Linked DNA regions of Mus musculus. The protein of the gene in region 1 interacts with the protein of each later gene in a pairwise test. Links are inferred from orthologs where the notes say so. Each region holds a gene or a part of one and is shown on either strand. Other genes may lie near its edges.

Region 1 (2,366 bases):
CACATCCCTTCGGTCCCTGACACCCCTCTCCACCTCACAGTACTATGAGATGTCCTACGGATTGAACATCGAGATGCACAAACAGGTAAGTCTCACTGTCCTCCTCCATGTCCTCAATGCCCTGTGATTCCCAGACTGAGCGTTAAGGCCACTCCCGTTACCCCCTCCCACCCCTCCAAGTGCCCCAGGTACTGAGGGAAAATCGTGTGTTCCAGGCGGAAATTGTGAAGAGGCTGAATGGGATTTGCGCCCAGGTTCTGCCCTATTTGTCACAGGAGGTAAGCAAGCCACCAGCAGGGGGCAGTGGGGTCCCCTCCGCACCTTGCTGAGCACTCCCTGGGCACGCACCTGCCCTTTCTGAGCTTAGCAAAGGTGAGACGTGGAGCAGCTGCACTCAGACCCCTGTGGCAAGGCAGAAAGAGCTCCCTGGGTGGGCGGGCACAGGCGATGGGAGCCCCCCCCCAGCTCTAAGGAAATTCCTGTGAAGTTGGATTCCTAGTCTCCCACCCCAGCAGCCCCTGAGCCCCTAGGACAGGACTTCTCTTGCGCTTTTGCACTGGTTGCCTACTGCACAGGAGTCGCCATTCCCCCGCCCCCGCCCCTCAGTCCCTTTCCAGCTTTGCCTGAGAGAACTCTGTCCCCTCCCTTGCCTATTCCAGCATCAGCAGCAGGTCCTGGGAGCCATCGAGAGAGCCAAGCAGGTCACGGCTCCTGAGCTGAACTCCATCATCCGAGTAAGTCGGAGCCTCTGGTGGACTGGGGACTGACTTGACCTGGGTGGCCAGGGTCAGGTGACAAGACCCTGGGCTGACTCTGTCACCCCCACCCCCACCCCACAGCAGCAGCTCCAGGCTCACCAGCTGTCCCAGCTGCAGGCGCTGGCCCTGCCCCTGACACCGCTGCCTGTCGGGCTCCAGCCACCGTCCCTCCCTGCAGTCAGTGCAGGCACAGGCCTGCTGTCACTCTCTGCTCTGGGTTCTCAGACCCACCTCTCCAAGGAGGACAAGAACGGACACGATGGGGACACCCACCAGGAGGATGACGGAGAGAAGTCGGATTAGCTCTTGGGGAAGGGGGAGGGGGGAGACCAGGGGAGACAGGCACAGAGAGCGCAGTGTTCTAAGGGCCACACAGCACACAGCTCTGTCACTACCCAAGCTTACACCTCCAGTCCTGGTTCTGGCTGTGCACCCTGGGCCTAGGGGACGCCAGAGGGACACCCCAGGCTAAGGGTTCTTCCCCACCTTCAACATTTCCCTGGGCCACAGCCACCAATCTCGGCCCAGAATGTACACAACGCTAGCTGCCCCTTTCCACCCTGTGCACCCCGAATCTGCCCCTATCCCCTTCTCTGCTTCCTGCACTGCACACCTGCTAGTCCCAGACCCCTCCCCCCAGCTCCCCCAGCTCCGGTTCCCTCAACCACAAAAGAAGGGGACAGAGAGAAAGCATTGGCTCGGGACTGCAGTGGGGGTGGGCACCCCACAAACTTCCCTCCCCTCTTCCCCAAATAAACGTGAGGGTTAAAAGTTGGTTTGTTTATGATTTCTTTCTTGTGCCAGTATTCTATAGCTATCATCTCAGAAAGGAAAAGAAGGAAGCCCCAGGAGTGTCTGTCATAGGGTTAGCTTTGTTGGTCGCCTTGGTCTCTGTCCAGAGGTCAAAGGCCAAGCCGCTGTACTGAGGATGGGGTCTAGCTGTGCCTTCAAAATAAAAACATGAAAAGGTTGGCCACTGTGTCCCTGCTTCTGTCTTGTGGGTGGGGACCCCTTTCCTCAGGGCACCCCGTGTCCTGCAATAAGACATCCCTGGAGCAACCAAAGACCCAGAGAGGGTGAGCTGGGGACCTGGGCCCAGACAGTGCAACTCAGTGCTCAGATTTCACACTGTTTTGGCAGGGTGGCTGTGGTACCCACATGGGTCCCTTGGTTACCTTCTGGGAGATGGCCTGGATGCTCCCTGTACCCCTCCCAAGCTAGGCTGTCCCCTGGGCATGCGCCTCGGTTTGGGGACCTTTTCCTTTCTTGTTTTTCTGAAACAGGGTTTTCTCTGTATAGCCCTGAATGCCCTGGACTCATTCCTCAAACTCACAGAAATTTTCCAGCCTCTGTTTTCCAAGGCCAGGGATTAGTCTTGTGTGCCACCTGTTTTCTTTATCTGCTTTGTTTTCTGTTTTGTTTTTCTGTTTGCTGGTTTATCATGTCTGTGTCCTGTTTGAGGACGCCTTGCAGGGATCTGTTCTCTTCTACCGTCTGTCCCAGGAATCAAACTCGGGGTGTCAGGCTTTGCAGCAATTGCCTCTACTGGCAAAGCCACATCTCACTGGACTAGTTTTTGTTGTTTTTAGGCTGGCCTGGAACTTGGTT
Region 2 (3,652 bases), on another chromosome or scaffold:
TTACCGGGACCTCTAATGGGCAACAGAGTCTTAGAGCCACAGGCCACAAACCTGTGCTCAAGGAGTTTAGAGTCTAGCCAGACAGGAAGCAGAGGAAGCAGACAAAAGGAGCCGACTCCAGGTCCACACCTCTAGTTTTACAAAAGCAATTGCTGGCCTACGTCATCACACACCGAAGTAAGCAAGCCATGGAAACATTTTAGCAACCATATACCGAATGTGGCATATCTATGTCTGAGGCTGGGGTCTGACTGTTTAGGGTTGGAGATAGAACTCTGGGATAGATCCCCAGCCTAAAAAAAGGGGGTGGGGGACTTAGTCATTCATTTTCATCTGTGTTCACTAATGTTTCCACTCACATTTAGTGAGAACAATATCCCTATAGGCCACCTGTACCACGCTCTCTCTTAAATGGAAGGATGGCTTACTCAGACCCTAGAGCTTCTCTAGCTGCAGCCCGGATGTCAGGCTTGGTAGGTTTTGCTGCTGAACCGATGCACAAACTCAGGCAGCGTGTAGACAGCTCCCCATCCTACTGCAGGGTCCATGCTGATGAAGTCGTTCAGGTTCATTTTGGAGTCTAGAAAAGAACATAAAAGTGTCTGCTGAAATAAATTTCAGGTTAGCAGCAGCAGCAGAACGCAGAAACCTAAGGGGTGAGGAGTCCACTCAAATAAACAGGAGTTCAAGATCACTCTTGCAATGTCCTCACATCAAACACATAGCAATCTCTTCAAGACACAGCATCATGTCACCCTATGGAAGGATGCTCCAGGGTGTAATGGCCAATAGTCTTCTCACATTTCAAGGTTGTAAAAGAGAGGAAAGAAAGGGAACTGTCACCGACTGGTGGAAAAAAAAAAAGGTATGACAACTAAATGCCATATCCCTGAGTTAGATTCTGCACCAGAAATAGGGAGTGAGTGAGAAGCCCTGAAAAACTGAACAGTGTTATTAATGCTTCCATGGTTATATGCTACTGTTAACACCAAAGACGTGGAGAAGTGGCTCAGCAATTAAGAGCACACTGACTGCTCTTCCAGGGGGTATAGGTTTGATGCCTAACAGCCACACACATGGTGGCTCACTACCATCTGTAACTCCAGATCAAGGAGATCTGATGCCCTCTTCTGACCGGACACAAAGGTATACTACCATACATACAGGCGAAACCCCCATATGCATTAAAAATTAAAAATAAATACATCTTTAAAAAAAGAAAACTTAAGACTAAGGGAACCTGAGGGAGGGTTATGCAAGAACTCTGTCCTACTTAGCAAATTTTCTAGAAGCCTGAAATTATTTAAAAATAATTTTGTAGAAAGGGCGCATACATAATCAAACTGTCAATCTCCAAGCTAAATGGGCAAGTTACAGGAAATTCAAAGGGACAGCAAGGACAAAGTCACAAACAACACATTGTCACTCTTACTCCCAGTGTCTTCAATATAGATGGCAAGGAAAGAGAATATGCATATTAAAAAATATTCTGTTTGTTTGTTTGTTTGTGAGACAGGGTTTCTCTGTTATAGCCTTGGCTGTCCTGGAACTCACTTTGTGACCAGGCTGGCCTCAAACTCAGAAATCCGCTTGCCTCTGCCTCCCAAGTGCTGGGATTAAAGGCGTGCGCCACCACTGCCCGGGTAAAAAATATTCTTAAGGAAGCAGGGAGCGATGGCTCAGTGGCTAAGAGCACTGGCGTCCATTGCAGGGGACCCAGGCTCAGTTCCTAGCACTCACGTGCAACTCACAACCATCTGTGACTCCAGGGGATCCAACACCCACTTCTGGGTCTGAGGGTACATGTATGCAAGCAAGCAATCATGAATAAAACAAATCTGTTCTTTTTTTTTTTTCCTTTTTTTTAAGAGTTAGAGGCATTGTGGCATACACCTTTAATCCCAGCCCTCAGGGAGAATATCTCTATGAATTTAAGACTAGCCTGGGGCTGGTGAGATGGCTCAGCGGGTAAGAGCACTGACTGCTCTTCCTCTTCCAAAGGTCCTGAGTTCAAATCCCAACAATCACATGATGGTTCACAACCACCCATAATGAGATCTGACGCCCTCTTTTGGTGTGTCTGAAATCAGCAACAGTGTACTTATGTATAATAATAAATAAATCTTTTTTAAAAAAATTGCCTGGTCTACAGAGTGAGCTTCAGGCCAGCCAGGAATACATAGTGAGATCCTGTCTAAAATAAGTAGTGTAGGAGAGTGTCCTCATTTATAAGTCTAAAGTAAGTAAGTAAAAGAGAGGAGCTGCAGAGATGGCTCCCAAGTTAAGAACATTTGTTCTTGCAGAGGACCTCCGTTTGAATCCCAGCACCTAGATGGTGGCTCACAATTCCAGTTTCAAGAGAGCCAATGTCCCCATTTGACCTCCTCAGCACCATGTGGTGCACAGACACACAAAAGCAAAACATTCATATGTATAAAATATTATAAAAATAAATTTTAAAAAATAAAAGGGAAAGGGGAAAACAGTGTAATTACATTTTTTTTTTTTTTTTTTTTTTTTTTTTTTTTTTTTGGTTTTTCAAGATAAGGTTTCTCTGTGTAGCCCTGGCTGTCCTGGAACTTGATTTATAGACCAGGCTGGCCTCGAACTCAGAGATTTTCCTGCCTCTGCCTCTCAAACACTGAGATTAATGGTATGTGCTAATAACATTTTGATATCATTATCATTTTTTGTTTTGTTTTGTTTTGTTTTTCGAGACAGGGTTTCTCTGTATAGCCCTGGCTGTCCTGGAGCTCACTTTGTAGACCAGGCTGGCCTCGAACTCAGAAATCTGCCTGCTTCTGCCTCCGGAGTGCTGAAAAATGTTTTAAATAAAATAAAAAAACACTTTTTAAATGTTTTTATTTATTGAGCGTTTCATATGATGTATTTTGGCCATATTCTTTCTCTTCCTAAAACTTCTCTAAAATTCCCCCATAAAACAATATTCTTGGGCTGGAAAGATGCCTCAGCTGTTAAAAGCACTGACTGTTCTTCCAGAGGTCCTGAGTTCAATTCCCAGCAACCACGTGGTAGCTCACAACCATCTGTAAATGGAATCTGATGCCCTCTTCTGGCGTGTCTGAAGACAGCTATAGTGTACTCTTATACATAAAATAAATAAATAATTCTTAAAAACAAACAAACAATATTCTTAAGATAGGATTGTTTATGTGGTACATGGGGGGCTGTGCATCACATATGTGGAAAATGGAGGTCAACAGCCGGTGTCTTCCTTGGTAGCTCTCCACCTCATGTTTTAAGAGAAGGTTCCTTCCTCATGGAAGCTGGACTTCACTGGTCCAACTAACGTAGCCAGCTTCAGGGATCCACCCGTCCTGTGCTAGGACAAAAGATGCACATCATGGGATAGAGAGATGGCTCAGCAGTTAAAAGCACTGACTGCTCTTCTAGAGGTCCTGAGTTCAAATCCCAGCAGCCACATGGTGGCTCACAACTACCCAAAATGAGATGATGCCCTCTTCTGGTGTGTCTAAAGACAGCTAGAGTGTACTTACATATAATAATAAATAGATCAAAAAAGAAAAAAAAAAAAAGGTTGCATATCACACCTGGCCTCTGTGTGGGCACTGAAGATCCAAACTCAGCTGGGCAGTAGTGGCACACACCCTTAATCCCAGCACTCGGGAGG
Region 3 (3,752 bases), about 46 Mb from region 1:
CTTTGGGTGACAAGAACGTAAAGCAGCAGCAGGGGTTGGGTATGTGTGAGTGTGGGGAAGGAGCTTGGGTGGTCGTGGGGACAGTCATACAGAGGTGGAAGACGGAAGAAGTCTCAGAGGCAAGTGAACTGAGCCCCAGGAGTGAAGGGCAGCCTTGAGGACCCGGGGTCCTCACCTCATGCAAGCTAAGCTGTTTGCCCTCCCGCCTTTTGGAGTCCAGGCGGCCGTAGATGACGCTGTACTTCCGGATCTCCTCTTCCTTCTGGGCGTCATGATCGTCCATCTCAAAGATGTGCCCCACGCTCCGCGCCAGCTTCTTATTCAGCTTCAACAGGGATGCGATCTCTCCAGTGTCACCCCTGGGGAAACTCCGGAAGATCCTCTCCACACTCTCCACCACCATTCGCACCATCTCTGGTTCCAGGCGGTCTGGACCACCCCCTGCACCACCAGCTGCCACCCCCCCAACCCCAGGCCCTTCAGAGACTCCTCCCCCTGCAGGTGGGGAGAAAGGGGGAGACCCGGCCTCCTCTTCTCCCCCTGCTCCAACATCAGATTCTGGAGTGCTCTGGCCTGGCCAGATCCGGGGATCCCCTGCCCCAGGTCCTCCAGGGAGTGGCGACAACTTCTCTCCAAGTTCGAGGGGACTCTTGGGGCTAAAGCTTCGAGCACTGCCCGCCTTTTCTCCTGGGCTGCCGTGCCCATTGCTCATGCTCCCTTTCCGGGTACCAGCTGTCTCAGAGATCTTGAAAAGTGGGATGCTGGAGACGGGCACAGCAGGCACTGGTTGGCTGAAGAGCCCTGGATTGGTGGCCCATTCTCTCAGAGCCTTCTGTAGACGTCGGACATGGAGTGGTTTGGTGGCCATGCCCACGAGTGCCATGATTTCCAGGAACTCCTCCTCGCCAGCCTCACACAGCTGCTGTACATCATCTCCTCCCTGCTGGATGAAGGTCTCGTAGTAAGAGAGGAGGTTGGCGCGTTGCAGGACCCGATACAGCTGTAGCTCACCCAGTGTCCGAGGCAGTGCCATGGCTGGGGCACTTGCCCTGAGGAGAAAGGGCAGGAGAGAGGCAGTGAGTATGAGTGCCCTGCTGGGGTACCAACCCACACTAACAACTGCCCTCTTTCCTGGACAGTGCCCTCCGATCCCCAGGAGCACAGAAGGCCGGTTGCCCGACCTAAGCTATCAGGAAAAACGCTTACCTCGTCTTTTACTTTGATCTTTCTGGTCTGGGCAGCACCATCTTGAGCCCTGAGACTTTTCATAACTTCCCTGAAATGGCTGGACCCACTTCCCTCCCAACTAAGTCCTTACCTCTTCCCCCTAAATACTCAGCAGCCTCAACATTACTTAATGTAACATCCCATATTAAAGTTAACTTAGAATACTAAGAGCTATTGCTGGCAGCTGTACTCCTTGGCCAGGTAGCTGAGAGGGAGGGGTGTGGCCTCTTCCTTGGCATTTAGGGAACCTGGTAGACCCTTGCTCCTGTTCTTCGCTTCCAAGGATTAAAGCACCCTTCCTAGACTCTGTCCCAACTTTCCAAAGGCTGCCCAGTTCCCTTCAGTTACCCCCTCTCCTTTGATTGATCCTTCCTACTATTCAGCAGGCCCCTCTCTTCTGGGAAAGGGGGAGGGAAGCCTTGATTGTTCTGCTCTGGGGCCCTTCTTCCCACACACTCCCACAGTAGCAGCGTCTGTGGGCGAAAACCGCCTGGGGGCTCCCGCCTACTCTCCTCTCGCTTGTTTTCCACCCTTATCTTCGACAAGGGAGTGCGGGAGAGGTTGAAGGTCTCTTGAGGAAGGGGCTGCACCCCTCCTCACCCTGTGAATGGTCATTTCACGGACAAGGGAGGCCTGAAGCACACCCCCTTCAGGCCCGCAGATGCTTAACTCAAAGGAACCACCTTCTCCCGGATGCCTGCTAATGACACACTGAGACAGCTAAGAGCCGCCACCCCTCACACTGTTGACAGATCAAGCTCTGGAGCTTCCCCTGGCTGGGGGGACATTCTTTGCAGGGGGCTCATGTGCCAGGTTATGCCCACTGAGTAAACCTGGAGTGGAAAACGAGGCAGTACTCTATCGTATCCAGGTTCATCGGGTCTTTGTTTGCTTCCAGGATCCCCTATTTCGAATACTCACCCCCTTTTCCATCAGTCTCCACCTCCCACCTCCGTCCCGCTTCCCCACGTCCTCTTTTCGACCTCCACCCTTTAGACCCCATTCCGGAGTCCAACTCCACCCATCTCCACTCCCTGCCACCTCCTTTTGCCCACTAACTTGAATCTGGGTTGCGGGGTCCGGCGTGTGTTATCCCCTCTGCCAGGTGGCTGTTCCGCTGTGGGAGAGGGAGCTCTGTGCATGGACGGCCAGAGATCACCAGTGCCTCCCCTCTCGGTGCCCGGCGCCTGCTGCGCGCTGCTCTTTGCCTGGCGCGCGCGGCCCGGGTCCACCGCTGTCCAGGCTCCGTCCCTCCCTCCACGTCTTCTCTCTCGGAGCCTCCGCGCCTCTGTCTGTGCCTCTGCCCCCACCTCCCCGGCTGCGCTTGCCGCCTCTCCGCGCCTCCTCCCCCGCAGGACGCACAGGGAGCGAGGCCCGGCGCTGCGCTGGCTGCCGGGCTGGCGGGAGGAGGGCGTGGGCAGAACCGGGGGCTGGGACCGGAGGCGGTGGGTGGGAGCCCAGGCCTGAGCCTTGGAGAGGCTGCTGTGGAGACTGAGAGGAGGAGACTTGGGGGAAGGGGGGGGGGGGGAGGTGTGGAGGCGGAGCGGGGACTCAGGAATCGGGCGCTGAGTTGGGGACCGAGGTGACCGAGGCCGAGCTGTGGAAGGGGGAGCTTGGGGACCCAACGGGCGGGGCAGGTCGCTCCTTGCCGCCCACGCCGGATGCACAGCCGGCCCTCTCTGCGCCCACGTACCCACGTGAGCGCCCCGCCGGCTACATTCCTACTCCCTGCACCACTCCTACTCCTGTGAGCCGAGAGCGCAGTTTCACAACCACGCACAAGTATACAAAGACACGCGCACGTACGTGCACACGCGTCCAAACAACGACGCGGACGCCCGTTGGCCGCACTCTGGCCGCGCCGAGCCGTTAGTTTGAATGTTAGAAGTGATGGGGGAAAAGTTAGCGAAGGGTCGGGGTGTGCTGTTCCTCCTGCTCGGCTCCCCTAGGATGTATCCTTAGGGTAAACCTGTTAGCGCGGGGCTGCGCAGGAATCCCTTCGGTATCTTAACACCGTTCTCTGGCCTAAAGGTTGTAATATGAAGAGGCGGCTCTCAAACCTTGGTCGTAAGTTATACTAGAATCTACTATTTACTTGAGCGTTGGTTAGGCACGTCGGGGTTGCTAGGTAGAGCCCGGATGGGTTTACCATGTTTTCGTGGCACCCTCTTTTCTGATGGCCAGGCCTTACTGCTTGGACGACTAGATAGCAAAGCCAGGAAAAGGCAGGTACCTTCTCTGAGGTCATGAGTTATTGAACCTCTCTGGACAGTGAAGTGGAAGCTGAGCAAAAGGCTAAGAGTAGTCTACGTGACTGTCCACCGTGGAGGACCGCCTTCAAGGAGCCCAACCCCCTCGGTTTCTTCTAGTCCCATCTGGTTCCCATTACACGCCCACGGCTAGGAGGGTTGGGGGGGGGGTATTGGGCACGCGGGGGTTGTGTAGGCCTTTGGGGAAAGGGAGGGTGGGGGTGGAAAGCGTGGCCGACTGGCCAGAGGAAACGTCCCTCTAGTTTGAAACCTCGG

What was found.
Region 2: the proteins of Tle5 (region 1) and Wdyhv1 interact in binary tests that used the Homo sapiens proteins (3 or more experiments, as listed by UniProt). The two-hybrid records come from large-scale screens. The link is inferred for Mus musculus from reciprocal best matches to the Homo sapiens genes TLE5 and NTAQ1.
Region 3: the proteins of Tle5 (region 1) and Nab2 interact in binary tests that used the Homo sapiens proteins (3 or more experiments, as listed by UniProt). The two-hybrid records come from large-scale screens. The link is inferred for Mus musculus from reciprocal best matches to the Homo sapiens genes TLE5 and NAB2.

What each region holds. Positions count from the first base shown.
Region 1 is NC_000076.6:81,564,633-81,566,998, forward strand, and holds the end of Tle5 (TLE family member 5), read left to right. Parts: intron 1-40; coding exon 41-85; intron 86-180; exon of another isoform or gene 181-215; coding exon 216-278; intron 279-659; coding exon 660-734; intron 735-839; coding exon 840-1,061; 3' UTR 1,062-1,739; downstream 1,740-2,366. UniProt on the Homo sapiens protein: Transcriptional corepressor. Acts as a dominant repressor towards other family members. Inhibits NF-kappa-B-regulated gene expression. May be required for the initiation and maintenance of the differentiated state.
Region 2 is NC_000081.6:58,154,830-58,158,481, reverse strand, and holds part of Wdyhv1 (protein N-terminal glutamine amidohydrolase), read right to left. Parts: intron 3,344-3,652; coding exon of another isoform or gene 3,279-3,343; exon of another isoform or gene 3,157-3,278; intron 581-3,156; coding exon 465-580; 3' UTR 1-464. UniProt on the Homo sapiens protein: Mediates the side-chain deamidation of N-terminal glutamine residues to glutamate, an important step in N-end rule pathway of protein degradation.
Region 3 is NC_000076.6:127,664,090-127,667,841, forward strand, and holds the start of Nab2 (NGFI-A-binding protein 2), read right to left. Parts: upstream 2,615-3,752; 5' UTR 2,370-2,614; coding exon 2,287-2,369; intron 1,050-2,286; coding exon 176-1,049; intron 1-175. UniProt on the Homo sapiens protein: Acts as a transcriptional repressor for zinc finger transcription factors EGR1 and EGR2. Isoform 2 lacks repression ability.